2 linked regions of the Macaca fascicularis genome follow. The protein of the gene in region 2 purifies or fractionates together with the protein of the main gene of each other region. This does not show direct contact. Links are inferred from orthologs where the notes say so. Each region holds a gene or a part of one and is shown on either strand. Other genes may lie near its edges.

Region 1 (7,165 bases), on a different chromosome or scaffold from region 2:
TTGATATGAATGATAAATAAACCCAAGTTATTAAAGCACTGAAACTGCTAAATGTCCATTCTTTCTGTAGGTTGGATCATCTCATCCTTTACTGAACTGTGTACCATTCCCATCTTAAGGATGCAAAAAGAACACCTGGAAGTTAAACAATCAGCCGAGATCACGGTCTACCATATTCCACCAATGCTAACATGCCGTCAATTAGAAGGCACAGCATTATTTTATTACCACTGAAAGAGTGAAAGGCTTTTTAAAAAAATCATATCAGGCTGGGCACGGTGGCTCATGCCCGCAATCCCAGCACTTTGGGAGGCCAAGGTGGGCGGATCACTTGAGGTCAGGAGTTCGAGACCAGCCTGGCCAACGTGGTGAAACCCCATATCTACCAAAAATACAAAAATTAGCTGGGCGTGGTGGCAGGTGCCTGTAATCCCAGCAACCCAGGAGGCTGAGGGACGAGAATCGCTTGAACCTGAGTCGAAGTTGCAGTGAGCCAAGATCGCACCACTGCACTCCAGCCTGGGCAACAAAGCGAGACTCCAATTCAAAAAAAAAAAAAAATATATATATATATATATACACATCTCAATTATAAGACATAGGTAGATTTAGGAAACGTTAACCTGCCACAAAATCAAGTGCATGTGGTATGAAAATGACAGAACCAGCTCGCAGACCTTGGTTTGTCTGTATCTTTTTTGACGAAACGGTCACAGATAACCTCCTGGGGTATTAGTCAGTAGCCTCCAGTCTGCAGAAGCCCTAACACAAGGCACTCGGATCCTATACCTGACAGGCCACGCGGATGAGGAAGTTCACCACAGTGTCTGTGTGCTGCTTGTCAATGGGCTTGGCGAGGAGAGAGTCCGCTCCAGGTAGTGACTGGCTCCTCCCAAATACCTGGAAAAGGACCTCCTTTCAGGCAGGAAGATAATCGCAACATGAATTTCCAACCCAGGCTTGACTTTTCACCCAGCTAATGGGTATGCGATACCTCCCGGGGACAGAGGCAGATCTGGACGCTCGGGATACCAAAGACAGATGTGGTCTCTGCCCTGGTGAAGTTGACACAGCCAGCAGGAGGGCAGATGGCTAGTCAACAGAGCAGCCATGCAAAATAGTGGCTCATGTGATGGGGAACAAAAGTGCCAAGGCCCAGGATAACATCAAGGGAGGTCTTTAGGTTGAGACAAAGGCGGCCATGAGAAAAAAGAAGAGAGACGGCTCCCAGTGGAGAGAAAAGGCCAGGGTACACATCCTGAGTGAGCACAGGGCCAGAACCAGGGGTGCGTTTAGAGCAGAGGGATAGCCCGCGTGGCCGAGCACCGAGATGGTGCTGGGGGCCAAGAGCCATCGGCAGGGCCTGGTCACCCAGGCCTGGAGTGCCAAGGTCAAGGGGAGGGCTTGAGCAGGGGGAACGGCAACCTGCCTTGTTTCAACTTTTTATTTCCAAAGGATTATAAGATCCACAAGAGATTTTTACAAAAACACTACGGAGGTCTCATGTACCCTTCACCCAGCTTCCCGATTCAAGTTGCGAAAGGAAACTTTTGTAGAAGTCTGACTGCTTTGTGAAAAATCAAGAGGGAGTAAAAGTGGAGGTGGAGAGAGGAACAGGGAAAGAAAGAAGAACAGGGAGGCAGTTGAGCAGCTCCCATCTGTCACCCTGCAAGGGGTGACAGAGGCTGGGACCACGGTGTGGAGGCAGGGATGGGTTATTTGCGGCAGAGTCAGTGAGACTTGCTCCGGACCGGATGTGTGGAGAGAGGCCAATGGACAAAGTGCAGACAGTGCCAGGTTTCTAACAGGAGCCGAGGGCAGATGTGGGTGCCACACAAGATGTGGGATGGTGAGGGTGGGAGAAGAGCTCAGCCTCAGGCCTACGAAGCCGGAAGTGGGGCAGCCAGGCCTGTGTCCACAAGCCAGCAGGTCCATGACACCAGCTGAGGTCAGACTCAGGGCTCCTAGGGCCACCATTCCACAAGGGGCAATACCCAGGACCCTCTTGGTGGCTGCCTCGTGAAACAGAACACATGTCCTTTTCAGAAACTGATCTCAGCACAGGCACATGTTCTTAATCAACTCCTTACTTCAAAGAGTTTCTCTAGATGCCTTTCTGCAAGTAATCAACCATCATCGACAGAACTTTAATGGTATGAACTGAGCGCAGAGGCAAGCATGTCTGGTAACCTGGGAACCCCTGGCATGAGTGACATGTCCTGGAGTTTCAATCTGGTAAGCATAGCTGTTCCCAGCTGCCTCTCCTAAATGCAGCTGGGCACCGAGCTCACATTCTAAATGTAGGGAATAAACGAACCAACTCCCAGCAGACTGCGCAGCACCCATACAGAGGCACACGTGATCTTACTGCACTGATAGCTCCGGTGGCCGTTCTAAAGCGTTTCACTTCCTGGGCAGAATCCACGGACAGGCCTCTCTTAATGGAGGATGAGACAGAATTGACTCCTTCTCCACTGGAATTTGGGTCCATATCTGAATCCGGCTTAAAAACACACAGGCGCTTGGCTTTACTGATTGATTTCTAGGGAGAAGTCGAAGGAAGACGATCGGGGCACCCCCAAGGCTGACACCCCTACCTGCTGGTCCTTGATCCTCTGCAGCTCCCACTTGATGACAACTTCAGACAGGTCCACGGCCAGCCGCCTCTGCTCGATGGTGACACTGGGCGTGAAGCCCAGCCTCTGCATGGCGCTCACCATGTGCTGCACCAAGTGGTGCCGTACCGGGTAGTACACCTGCGGGCGCAGGGCCAGCATCACGCCGGGAACATGGGACCTTGGTCCCAGAGCGCATGCACGTGTGTGCACGTGCACACACACCCCCCCGTGACGTGCCTCTCAGCCCCAACATACACACACAACCCAACCTGATGCTCAAGAATTCGGAATCCTAACCTTACCGAGGAAATTCTCACTGCCTTACGTATGTGTGTTTATCACCCTCCCCCGCCCCAATCACATCTCATTACAATAGTATTCTTCAGTCTTGAAAAATCAAATTCTCTTCAGACAGGAAGCTGAGTCTAATCACATGTATCAAACTTCAGACTTGACAGTGTAAAAGTTTAAGACATACCAAAAAGCAAAGTTCCTCTAAGAGGTGGCTATAAAAGAATTTGCTTTCAACTCAATCCTTTCTCTTCTACCCCAAATCTACAAGAAACATTTACATATAAATAAATCCCACAAAAGGGGTGATTTGGTCATAGAGAAGGAGGTGCCAGCAGCATGAGTAACTTTCCAAGTCAGGTGACGGAAATCTGGAGTCAATGAGGACTATCTCCCACCTTAAGGTGCAAACTCAGCAGCATACAAGGGTTAACTAAGCACAGTATTTATGACAGAAATGTAGCCTTAGATGCAAAGATGCACACACCTGTGACATATTCTCTATATTACAGCAATTTCCATGCTGATAAAGCCATACACACATACACAAACTAATCACATAAACTAATCAATGAACCAGAAGTAACCTTACTAAAAGATGAACCACCTGATTATTGCAGAACAAGACAAGGTGAAGGTTCAGAGCGAATGCCTGAAGATGCATGCCCCGCAGCCCGCTGTCCCTCCTACACACCTTGAAGTGTTGCACTATCAGGTGCAGAATGTGGACCAGCTGCGGGACGGTGTGCCCCTCCTCTACGATGATTTTCCGGGTCCAGTGGGTCAGCATCTGGTGCCCGTCCTCCATCCTGGCCGGCACCGCCGGGGTCAGAATGGCCATCGCCTGTCTGACGATCGCTCGAGCTTCCATTGCATGAGCCTTGAGGAGACTATGAAAAACCTAAAACAGGGAAGAGACACTTATTGAGGATGAGAAGGCAGGCTTTAAAAAACAAGAAGACAAACAATCCCTTGGTATCGAGACATGATACTTTTCCAAAACAATTTTCTAAAAATTTCTTAGGAGTTTCTTATTAGGAAACAACTTAGTTGCTTTCTGTTTCATTAAGACCAGAATACATTTCGTTAATACCAATGAATACATTCATTCTAGTATTTAAAATGCACCTACTATGCGCCTGTGCTGAACTAGGCCAGGGTATGCAGACAGATAAGACCAAGTCCCTGCAGGGATCCCACGTCCCACCTAACCAGCAGCGAGTTAGGGAGGTACACGGCTCATCTCCCTCCGGCTGCGGGATGGGAAATAAAGTAAACAGGGCCAAAAGGAGAGGCGCTGAGAAGCAGCAGCTGTAGTCACTCAAGTTTGAGAGGTGAGGCCCTGATGTGAGGTCATGGGAAAGCAGAGAAGACCAGTCCTGAGGGTGGAGGTGACAGGGTGGGTGTTAGAAGCTGCAGAACCTGCTGGTGCCTGGGCACTGGGGAAGAGCAGAGAAGGTCACAGAGTTCTTGAGTGTTTACCTCTGAGACAACTGGAGGAGGGCAGTGCAGCCCCGAGGCTGGAGTTCTAGCTCAAGGGCTCATGGGAGGGGATGTGAGAGGCCACTGGCTTGATGGGGGTGCAGAGTTCAACAGAGGTTCACAAGAGAAAGATGTCAAGGGAAAGCCATCAAAGATGGTCTCATGGAAGAAAAGAACTATCAGTGATCAAATGCTGCAAGCTCGAGTGGAGTATTACATTTAATTCTCACACAGAGACATTAACCTGCCAAAGGGCACACACCGCGTGAGCGGAAGAAACAACACTCAAACCCGGGGTGCCCGACCTCAGAGTCCAGACCACCGAGGGACTCCAGGAAGAGGTGCTCAACACAAGCTGCACGGCAGCAAGCTCATGAGATACGGATCCAAAGGTACCTATTGTCTCTGGCTAAGAGAAGTGGGCTAGAGCCCCTGAATATTATAACATCTGCCATGGAATGTCAGAGTCAGAAGCTAAAATGCAACGGACAGAGAAGCTTGAGATGGAAAGGGTGGCCTTTCCTTTTAAAAGCAAAGTTGTCGAGGAATGAGAGAGCAGAGCAGGAATGGGGGAGGAAGGGAGAGCGTGGACAGTCACGGGAGGGCTCACAGCGTGGGGTGTTTTCCCCACAAATGGTAAAGCACACATAACACGGAATGTACCATCTTACCTAGTTTTGGGTGCACAGCCCAGTGGCGCTTGGCACCTTCACACTGTGTGCAGCCACGAGCCCCACCATCTCCGGAACGTTTGCATCTTCCTAGGCTGAAACTCTGCACCATTCAATACTCACTCCCCACCCCCTCTCCCCGCCCCCCGCAATCTCCATTCTACTTTGTCTCTCTGAATTCGAGTGCCCTAGGGTCTTCTAAGTGGAATCACAGAGTGTCTATGTTTTCACGGTTTTCATCGGTATTGGGAAAAGACAACAGGAGAGGCTGAGACTGCGCCAGGGAGCCAAGTCACCACGTGGGATTCACGTGGATGTCGGTGGACAGGAGGGGGCTTGCAAAATACCTGCAGGACGATCTTCTTGTGGATGGCGAATTTGGCGATAATGTGCGCCAGGAGCAAGTGTCCGCTGTACTTGCAGGCCGGGTCCACGCAGGCCTTGGAGAGCAGGCAGGGCCAGGCAAAGGTCATGAGGCGGCGCAGCTTGCTGTTGCGGTTCTTGTTGTTGTCGTGGATGTGGTGGGGGGCGTGCTCCACCAGCAGCGTGGCGTACTGCAGCAGGTAGATCCGCAGCGAGTCCAGCATGTCCGCCTGCTTCTCGGGGTCCAGGACCTGTGCAGGGACAGCGGGAAGGACTCATTTCCAGTTGTGAACTGGGTTACTGACTGAGGGTCACACAGCAGGTTTAACCCTTAAAAATACATACATACATACACACACACACACAGTATGTAACGTGAAGTTTTACAATGATATCAATAACATCTTATCCATTTTTCTTCATATATATGTGAAAGGAGAAAAAAACCTCAGGACCCCAGTTGGCTCTGCCCAATGGAAAAAATTAAGCTGAAAGCTGAGTCATGCAAGAAACTGGCTCCTTTTGATGCTAAGCAGAGCTACAGATGAAAGGTTAATGATCTCCACAGGTAACGACCCCGTGTTCACCTTATCTTATATAAAGTGCTGGCTTACTGAGCGTGAGATGAACACAGAACTGACTCTTTCCCCACCTGCTCCCCTTCTTTGGCAATGTGTGGATGACCACACCCGCCCCCTTTCCCCTTCAGCCGACTTTCCCCCTTCAAACACTGAAGCCCTCAAAGCCATTTTTAGAGAAAGGCACAAATGTCTCTCCCGGACACATCCTGAACTTTGGCAAAATAAATTTCTAAACCGACTGAGATCCATCTCAGGTACTTTTTGGTTTACATATGGATTAGAAATCCACCAAATTCATTTCAACATTTAAATAGGGTAGGCTTAAGAGTCAGGATGCAGGGGCTGGAGGAGGGTGAGGTGGGAAAAGAAGACTTCTTTGATTCAAGGTGATTTAGGACTGAGTTTCTTAATTTCCAAATAGTTGAGATTTTTTTTTCCCGGCCAACTTTTGTCTACTCCTTATTTTTCTGCATGATGATCAGAAAATGTGACCTGGAAAAATGTCTACTTTCAAAAAATTGTTGCAGTTTTGAAAGCATCTGACAGATTTTTTAAGTGTTTCACGGACATAAGAAAAAAAATGTACCTTGTGTGAGGAATATTCTACACGTCTCTATTAAATCAAGTATAATGGCAGCATCATTCAGTTCAACTTAGTATCCTAACCACTGTCTATCTACCAGGTCTTAATAATTCTGAAAAATGGACAGACTGAAGTCTTCCATTATAATCATGTTTTTATCAAGGTCCCTTTTAGCCCCAAGGTCCTCTCTTCCCTAGATGTACTGCTTCTTGGCAGGCCCACACCTGCATCTGTAGCCTCCAGCCTGCCAGCTCCTTTTCTCCTCATCCTGACGTTCAAAATCCCTATAGCAGCAGCATCTGACCCAGGAGACACAGCCTGGAGAAGGTAACAAAGGGGAAGGGGTCCCGTCTGGACTCCATCTCCCTACACTTGCCCAGAATAAGGCAAATATCACTACGGAGACCAAGAATAAACGTTTGGGCTCACTCTGATCCTGGGGATCAGATGTCAACACTGCAGGAAGGAGGCCCGTCTGAAAGGACAAAGACTATGTAAGCTCCAGGAATCTGCCAATGGAAACAACAGTCCCCTCTGCCTTGATCCCAGGACAAAATGGCTAAAACCAGCAATCTG
Region 2 (7,814 bases):
AAAAAGGAAAAGGAAAAAAGTGGCATATATTTGTCTCCGTTGCTGCTAAAGTTTTACTGTTAATAGCCAATATTTATTTTTAATTAACAACTCTTAGTAATTTTGGAATTACACCAATCACATAAAAACCTGGCATTAGGCACGAAAAGTGTCATATTAGTCTGATTATAAAAAATAAGTCAGCCAGGCATGGTTGCTCACACCTGTAATCCCAGCACTTTGGGAGGCCAAGGTGGGTGGTCAGGAGTTCGAGACCAGCCTGGCCAACATGGTGAAACCCCATCTCTGCTAAAAATACAAACATTAGCCAGACATGATGGTATATGTCTGTAATCCCAGCTACTTGGGAGAATGAGGTAGGAGAATCGCTTGAATCCGGGAGGCAGAGGTTGCAGTGAGCTGAGATCAGGCCACTGCACTCTGGGCAACAGAGGAAGTCTGGCGGGGGGGGGGGGGGGGGGGGGGCGGGGGGGGGGAAGAGTCAATATCACCATTTTTATTTATTATCACTTATAACTATTCGACAATGCATTTAGACAAGAAAGTCAACTATTTAAAACAATAGGACAAAATTATATGATTTTCCTGCCTACCTGGAAAACCACAAAGGAAAAAAGCTGGACAACAGAAATGACAGAATTTAATAAGGAAGGAAATACAAATCAGTATAAAAATCAAGAATGTTCTATTTGTAAAACATGGTCAATCAGAAAACATAATAAAGAAACCCTTCTAATATTTCCCCAAAATACACTAATAAAAAAGAATAGCTGGAGATAAATTCTATGAAACGTGTGAAAGTTCTGTAAGAAGAAATCAAGGCTGGGTGCGGTGGCTCACACCTGTAATCCCAGCACTTTGGGAGGCTGAGGTGGGCGGATCACCAGAGGTCAGGAGTTGGAGACCAGCCTGGCCAACATGGCAGAACCCCGGCTCTACTAAAAATACAAAAATTAGCTGGGCATGGTGGCAGGCGCCTGTAATGCCAGCTACTCAGGAGGCTGAGGTAGGAGATCACTTGAACCTGGGAGCTGGAGGTTGCAATGAGCTGAGATCGTGCCACTGCACTCCAGCCTGGGTGATAGAGAAGACTCTGGCTCCAAAAAAAGAGAAGAATCAGAAACTTCTATAAGTAAATTGTTTTGAAAAATCAAGGGGCATGTCTCCTTTAACATGTATTCACCATTTTTTATACATTTTATTCTATCTAAACATTTAATGTAATTTTAATAGGATTGCATTAGATATGGAAATAAAAGTATTATGTAGTGCATTTGGAATAAAAGAATATGAAAGTTCTCTCCTATAAAGTCAAGTCCCTCTTCTTCTGCCTTTCCATACTTTGCTTTGGCACGTCTGGAGAGTTAAGTGCCACTTCCTTGACAAAGTATATCTACATTAATTACTTGGAATTCATCTGTTTAGATTTATCTTATATCCTGATTTGAAGTTTCACATTTGCCATGTTCTAAATATTACCCAGTTTTATTCAACATATAGTTGCCATTTCTGTTTTCAAAGATCTTCAGTTTTTTCCTTCTCTAATTGCATCCCTTACTTATTATTTATGCAGGTTAATTCAAGGGATAACTGACTTTTGTGACTTGATTGTCCTTACTTGGCATGTTTTATTTTATAGAACTTTACCTGCTTCTATATATGCCTTATTATGTGTAGATATCAAGTGTTTAGCAGTTTTTTTTTTTTTGGTAACCAAATGAGATTTTTTTTTTTTTTTGAGGTAAGGGCAGCTGTTGAATATCGTACAGTAATTTTTAGTTATTTGGCAGCGTTACTGAATGGGTTTTGCTTTTCAATTTCTCTTGGTGTTACAGCACAAACAGCAAACACAGATCAACAAACTATTTTGCCTCTTTTTAGTAGTCAAAACTTTTGAAGCATATACTGTTCCGAAATTTCTAAACTTCAAGTTATGTTAGGCCTTCTAGTCCTATTCCTGCCTGAGTCTGACACTAGTATCTCACCATCACATATGGTGTAAGGCTTTTTTTTAACATATCTTACATTTTAAGAAATAATTCTATTATTCTTTACAAAGTGCATGAAGCCACAGGTATCAAATATATATATGCTTACCCAAATTTTAAGATTAACTTATTTTACTTACACGTCACATTTGAGTATTTCGTGAGACTGCCATATTTGAAAGGAAATTCTTCTCTAAAATGTACTTTAAGCAACCAGCCAGACTAATGTCGCCTGGATTTGAACTCTAAGGTTATACCTCTTCTGTTTGTAATGCAATCTTCACTTCCATACGTAACCCTTAACATGACATACATAGTTTGAGATAGTCTCGCTCACGTCACGCAGACTGGAGTGCAGTGGAACGATCTTCGTTAACTGTAACTTTCACCTCTCAGGCTCAAACAACCCTCCCACCGCAGCCTCCCGTGTAGCTGGGACTACACGCCTGCACCACCAAACCCGGCTAATTTCTGTGAGATAGGGTCTCAATTATGTTAATGGTTAAGTCCCGGGCTTAAACGACCCTCCCGCTTCAACCTCGGGGCAAGTACTGACTGCTCACAAGCGTGAGCTACCTCGCCCAGTGACACGTATAATCAAAACTACCTCAGACATTAATGGTTGATGCAACGGTCCTTGAAAATTCAATCCCCTTACATTCCCGAAATGCTCTTAAACGGGTGTTGCTTCTGACAGGTGCCAGCTAACATGGCTGCTTAACAGCACTTAACGTTCTGTAAGGCACAGCCTTTTCTGAGATGGTAAGTGGCTCTGAAAAGAGCCTTTTGTTTTGACACTTAAAAGTCACTATACCAACGACAGCCCGAAGTTACTTGCTTTGGGCTTTATGGTGGTGACTCTCAGTCTTCTTGGGCAGCAGCACTGCTTGAATGTTGGGCAGGACCCCGCCCTGTGCAATGGTCACGCCGCCTAAGAGCTTATTGAGTTCCTCGTCATTGCGGATGGCTAGCTGCAGGTGGCGGGGAATAATACGAGTTTTCTTGTTATCACGAGACGCATTGCCAGCCAATTCAAGAATTTCTGCTGTCAGATATTCTAACACCGCCGCCAAATATACTGGTGCGCCTGCCCCTATCCGCTCTGCATAGTTTCCCTTACGGAGTAAACGGTGAATTCGACCTACAGGAAACTGCAAGCCTGCTCTAGAGGAGCGAGACTTAGCCTTGGCGCGTGCTTTTCCTCCCTGCTTTCCTCGTCCAGACATTCCTACACAGACGAATTACAGCAACACAAGAATCATTCCTAATGGCGCTACTGGGCCTATTTATAGTCTGACTGAGGTTGGAATTTTTGCTATCTGATTGGCTGATGGCCTTCTACCCAATCAGAAAGTCTGACTAGAATCACCTTATTTGCATTCACGCCACTTCGCATTGTCCAATCAGATTTTGGATGCCCAACACGGCATTTGAGGGCCGTGCCTATAAATACCGCACCTTTCGGCCAGCAGCGATATTCGTTTACTTGGCGACGGTGGGAGTTGAGGTGTTACAGAGCTGTTTAACACTGAAGAGCTGTTTAACACTTAAAAGAGCTGTTAACACTTAAAAGAGCTGTTTAACACCTAAAAGAGCTGTCTAACACTGCAGAAGTGCTGTGGCAGTTATGCCGGAGTTATCGTCTAAAGGTGCTACGATTTCCAAGAAAGGCTTTAAGAAAGCAGTCGTTAAGACGCAGAAGAAGGAAGGCAAAAAACGCAAGAGAACCCGTAAGGAGAGCTATTCTATTTACATCTACAAGGTGCTGAAACAGGTCCATCCAGATACTGGAATCTCTTCCAAAGCCATGAGTATCATGAATTCCTTCGTCACTGATATCTTTGAGCGTATAGCGAGTGAGGCATCACGCTTGGCTCACTACAACAAACGCTCCACCATCTCCTCTAGAGAGATCCAGACGGCAGTGCGGTTACTACTGCCGGGAGAGCTGGCTAAACATGCTGTGTCCGAGGGCACCAAAGCTGTCACTAAGTACACCAGCTCCAAGTAAGCCGGCCAAGTAAACGTCTTTACAACCCAAAGGCTCTTTTCAGAGCCACGTAAACATACTGAAAGAGCTGTGAACTTACTGTATGTTTCTGTGTAAGGCTGTCTTCGTAAAGCCACTCAAAGATAATCAGCTGTGGGCTTAAGGTAGACGAACTAGTTCCAACAAGACCAGCCTGGCGGGGCACCGTTGTTAACGCCTGTGTAATCCCAGCACTTAAAAGGCGGACGCTGGCGGTTCACTCAGGAGATGGAGACCATCTTGGCCAACAAGCTGAAACTCCCATCTCCGCTAAAAATTCGGAAATCAGGTGGGCGTGGTATCGCTTACCGTAGTCCTAGCTTATTGGGAGGTGGAGGCAGGAGAATGGCTTAAACCTAGGAGCCGGAGGTTGCAGTGAGTCGAGGTTGTCACTGCACGCTAGCCTGGTGACAGCGAGACTCTCAAAAACGGTAGTTTGTATAAAAGCTACATCTTGATCGATATTGGTATGTTTAAGGTTAGCATTATGTATATGAAACTACAAAGTGCAGCCACGTAGACAATGTTACTTGCATTATGATCCCAAATTTTTATAGACCTCCCAAAAAGGCAGTAGTTGAGAGGAAGTTACGTTTTGTGCCACAGGTAAGTCAAGGTGTGGAAATCATTTTGGGAACTCTGGAGAACTCCCAAATCTGATTTGCAGGAATGAAACAGATTTAAAGTGTCTTGTAATTTTCTTAAATTTATAATAGTTTCCTTAATTGTCGTGTTAACTGGTTGTTGACCTCCATCTGTAAGGGCTCTCAAGCATTAAACTGATTTCAGCCACCTTAAAAACGAATCAAATGTTACTTCTTGGAAACCTGGTTAGCTGGAATTCTCAATCTGTTTAACGCATGTTCATTTAACCTTTTAATGAAATTTTGGATGTGTATATGTGCTTGCTTTAAAAAGTTAGTACCGGGCGGGCGCGGTGGCTCACGCCTGTAATCACGCACTTTGGGAGGCTGAGGAGGGCAGATCATGAGGTCAGGAGATCGAGACCATCCTGGCTAACACGGTGAAACCGTCTCTACTAAAAGTACAAAAAATTAGCCGGTCGTGGTGGCACGCGCCTGTAATTGCAGCTACTCAGGAGGCTGAGGCAGGAGAATCGCTTGAACCTGGGAGGCAGAGGTTGCAGTGAGCCGAGATCATCCCACTGCACTCCAGCCTGGGTGACAGAGCAAGACTCCGTCTCAGAAACAACAACAAAAGAATATATCGATGTACAAGACCTGTTAAAATAAGTGCCCCCACACTTTTGTGAACAGTAAGGCAGTTCCTGCAAAGCCCCTGCGTGCTTTAGCTGGGAAATCTTCCAAGGAGGTGACAAATTGGGGGGAAGGGGCATCTAGCATCTATGCTCACCTTGTACTGGGGATGGGATCATCTCCAGTCAGGTATTCATGCTTCTCTAACACCTTGGAAAACAGCAGGTATCACATAACTGCCAAATAACCTGTCAACTTTGTGACCACTGTCAGTAGACTATCCTGATTATCCAAGGACTTTTAGGCTTATTTGGGCAATAGATAAGTAGGAATACCAGCAAATAAAAACTCTTTTTCAGACTAAACTTCATGTAGCTTTTATATCGATGTATTTTGGCTCCAAATAACAGGAAATGCTAGCTGGACTGGTTGAGATAATAAGTAATGCAACCAAACAGGACAACCTAAAGGCAGAGAAGTTCCACCAATAGGATGATCACAGCCCTGGCTCCACTACCCTGCAGTCTTGCCTCTGCCCTTCTCCCCATTGTGATTTTGCCATCATACTGGTCACAGTTCCAAGTGTTCATGCAGAGATGATAAAGTAAAGGCAGGAAGAGTCACTCTATTCCACTGGGTCTTGGATTGAGAGCAAAAGGAGTCTTCCCAGAGGACCCATTCCTCTCAGGTCCGTTTTCTAGAACTGAGCCTAGTTCAGGTGCTGCCTGAGTCATTCACCTACAGAAGACCACAGGATGGGTGTGAACTGATCATCTACCTTCATACATATTTGGCATTTTAAAAAGTTAAATATAGTTCTGGGTACTTTGTTTTTGTTGTTAATGAGGTATTTCCTATTCATTATTCTTTAACATTTTGTTGTTATATATGTAACACTGCTTTCTGTGCATTTTTATTATTTTTTATATCCTTCTAGTACCTCACTGAATTGACTGACTTTGCTATTGGTTTCCTGGTAGATTTTCTTGAGTTTTACATGTCTGCAATACAGGTTGAGCATCCGTAACCCAAAAAGCTCCAAAATTCAAAACTTTTATTGTATGATGGGTTTCTTTCCTAGTCTAGCTGATCCTATACACAGCTTAATATAAATTTCTATGTACATGCAATAAAATATGTTTAATATTATTAATGAAACAATGCCAGATTGAGTTTTCAAAATATTTAAAAAATGTGTGATATAGTAATATTTGTGCTTCAAATAAGATTGAAAATTATATTTTAGTGCATACATTGTGGAAAACACTATAGAATTTCCTCAAAAAATTAGAAATAGAACTACCATATAAATCCAGCAATCCTACTACTGGGTATATATTGAAAGGAAATAAAATCAGATTCTCAAAGAGATATCTGTACTCCCATGTTCATTGCAGAATTATTCTCAATAGACAAGATGTAGAGAGAACATAAATGTCCATCAGCAGACGGATAAAGAAAATGTGGCATATATACAAAATAGAATACTATTTGGCCTTAAAAAAGAAAAAGAATCCTGTCATGGGCAGCAACATGGATGAACCTGGAGGATGTTAAGTGAAATGAGCCAGGCACAGAAAGACAAATGCTGTATGATCTCATAAGTGGAATTTAAAAAATGTTGAACTCATGGAAGTAGAGAGCAGAGTGGTGGTTACCAGTGGCTACAGTTGGGGAGTGGTGGGAAGATATTGGTCAAAGGATATGAAATTTCACTTAGGAGGAATAAGTTGAAGAGCTCTATTGTACAATATGCTGATTATAGTTGGTAACAATATGTTCTATTCTTGAAAATTGCAAAGAAAGTAGATTTAAGTGTTTCCATAACAAAAAATATGTGGGGTAATGCATATGTTAATTAGATTGATTGCTATTCCGCAATGTATATATATTTCAAAACATCATGTTGTACACAGTAAATGCATGGTTTTTATTTGTCAATTTAAGAAATGAAAATAGTTGGGCAGAGAGTGGATTTTAGGGAGGCAAGATTAAGAGCAGTGAGATTAATTAGAAACTGTAATTCAGGTGAGAGATATGAGTATGCAGACAAAAATGGTAGCTGTGGAGATGGTGAATAATCGACAACAGAAATATGTAGGAAGTAAAATTACCATATCTTGAGAGATTGAAGTGAATAGAAGTTGAACAGAGACTATTAGAGAAAAAATACATTTCTGGTTTGGACAACCATGTGAATAGGGTGGTACTCATGGATGTAGAGAACACAGATGTCCAGGAAAGAGTTCTGTTGGAATCATCTGGAAATCCCTGTGGAGAGAATTCTTAAGTGGCTAAGCAACATTAAGAACTGTGATATTGAGTAAGCAGTTTACTGGAGTTCACAGAGACGCAGAAACCTGCGGCTTTAAACCTCAAATCCCAGCAGATAAAGGGGAGTTAGCCTGATCACTTTTCATAGAGTGCAAGAAAAGGACCGTAAAAAGCACAAGAGATGCTGCAAAGAGAGCTATTCTATTTACATCTACAAAGTGCTGATCGGGTCCACCCGGACTTGGAGGATGTTTTGCACACATTATGGCCAAAGTCAAGAAAAAGCAAACAGCCTAATGCTCAGTG

The links. Proteins that work in one complex are often made in the same cells at the same time.
Region 1: the proteins of H2BC1 (region 2) and TRRAP purify together in Homo sapiens (affinity purification with mass spectrometry; 3 studies listed by BioGRID and IntAct, counting the BioPlex papers as one, with this or other methods). This does not show direct contact. The link is inferred for Macaca fascicularis from reciprocal best matches to the Homo sapiens genes H2BC1 and TRRAP.

The regions. Positions count from the first base shown.
Region 1 is NC_088377.1:47,526,571-47,533,735, reverse strand, and holds part of TRRAP (transformation/transcription domain-associated protein), read right to left. Parts: intron 5,677-7,165; coding exon 5,410-5,676; intron 3,811-5,409; coding exon 3,604-3,810; intron 2,757-3,603; coding exon 2,598-2,756; intron 2,504-2,597; coding exon 2,369-2,503; intron 901-2,368; coding exon 790-900; intron 1-789. UniProt on the Homo sapiens protein: Adapter protein, which is found in various multiprotein chromatin complexes with histone acetyltransferase activity (HAT), which gives a specific tag for epigenetic transcription activation.
Region 2 is NC_088378.1:147,199,961-147,207,774, reverse strand, and holds H2BC1 (histone H2B type 1-A), read left to right. Parts: upstream 1-3,464; 5' UTR 3,465-3,615; coding exon 3,616-3,999; 3' UTR 4,000-6,785; downstream 6,786-7,814. Other genes in the region: H2AC1 (histone H2A type 1-A), read right to left, coding at 2,819-3,214. UniProt on the Homo sapiens protein: Variant histone specifically required to direct the transformation of dissociating nucleosomes to protamine in male germ cells.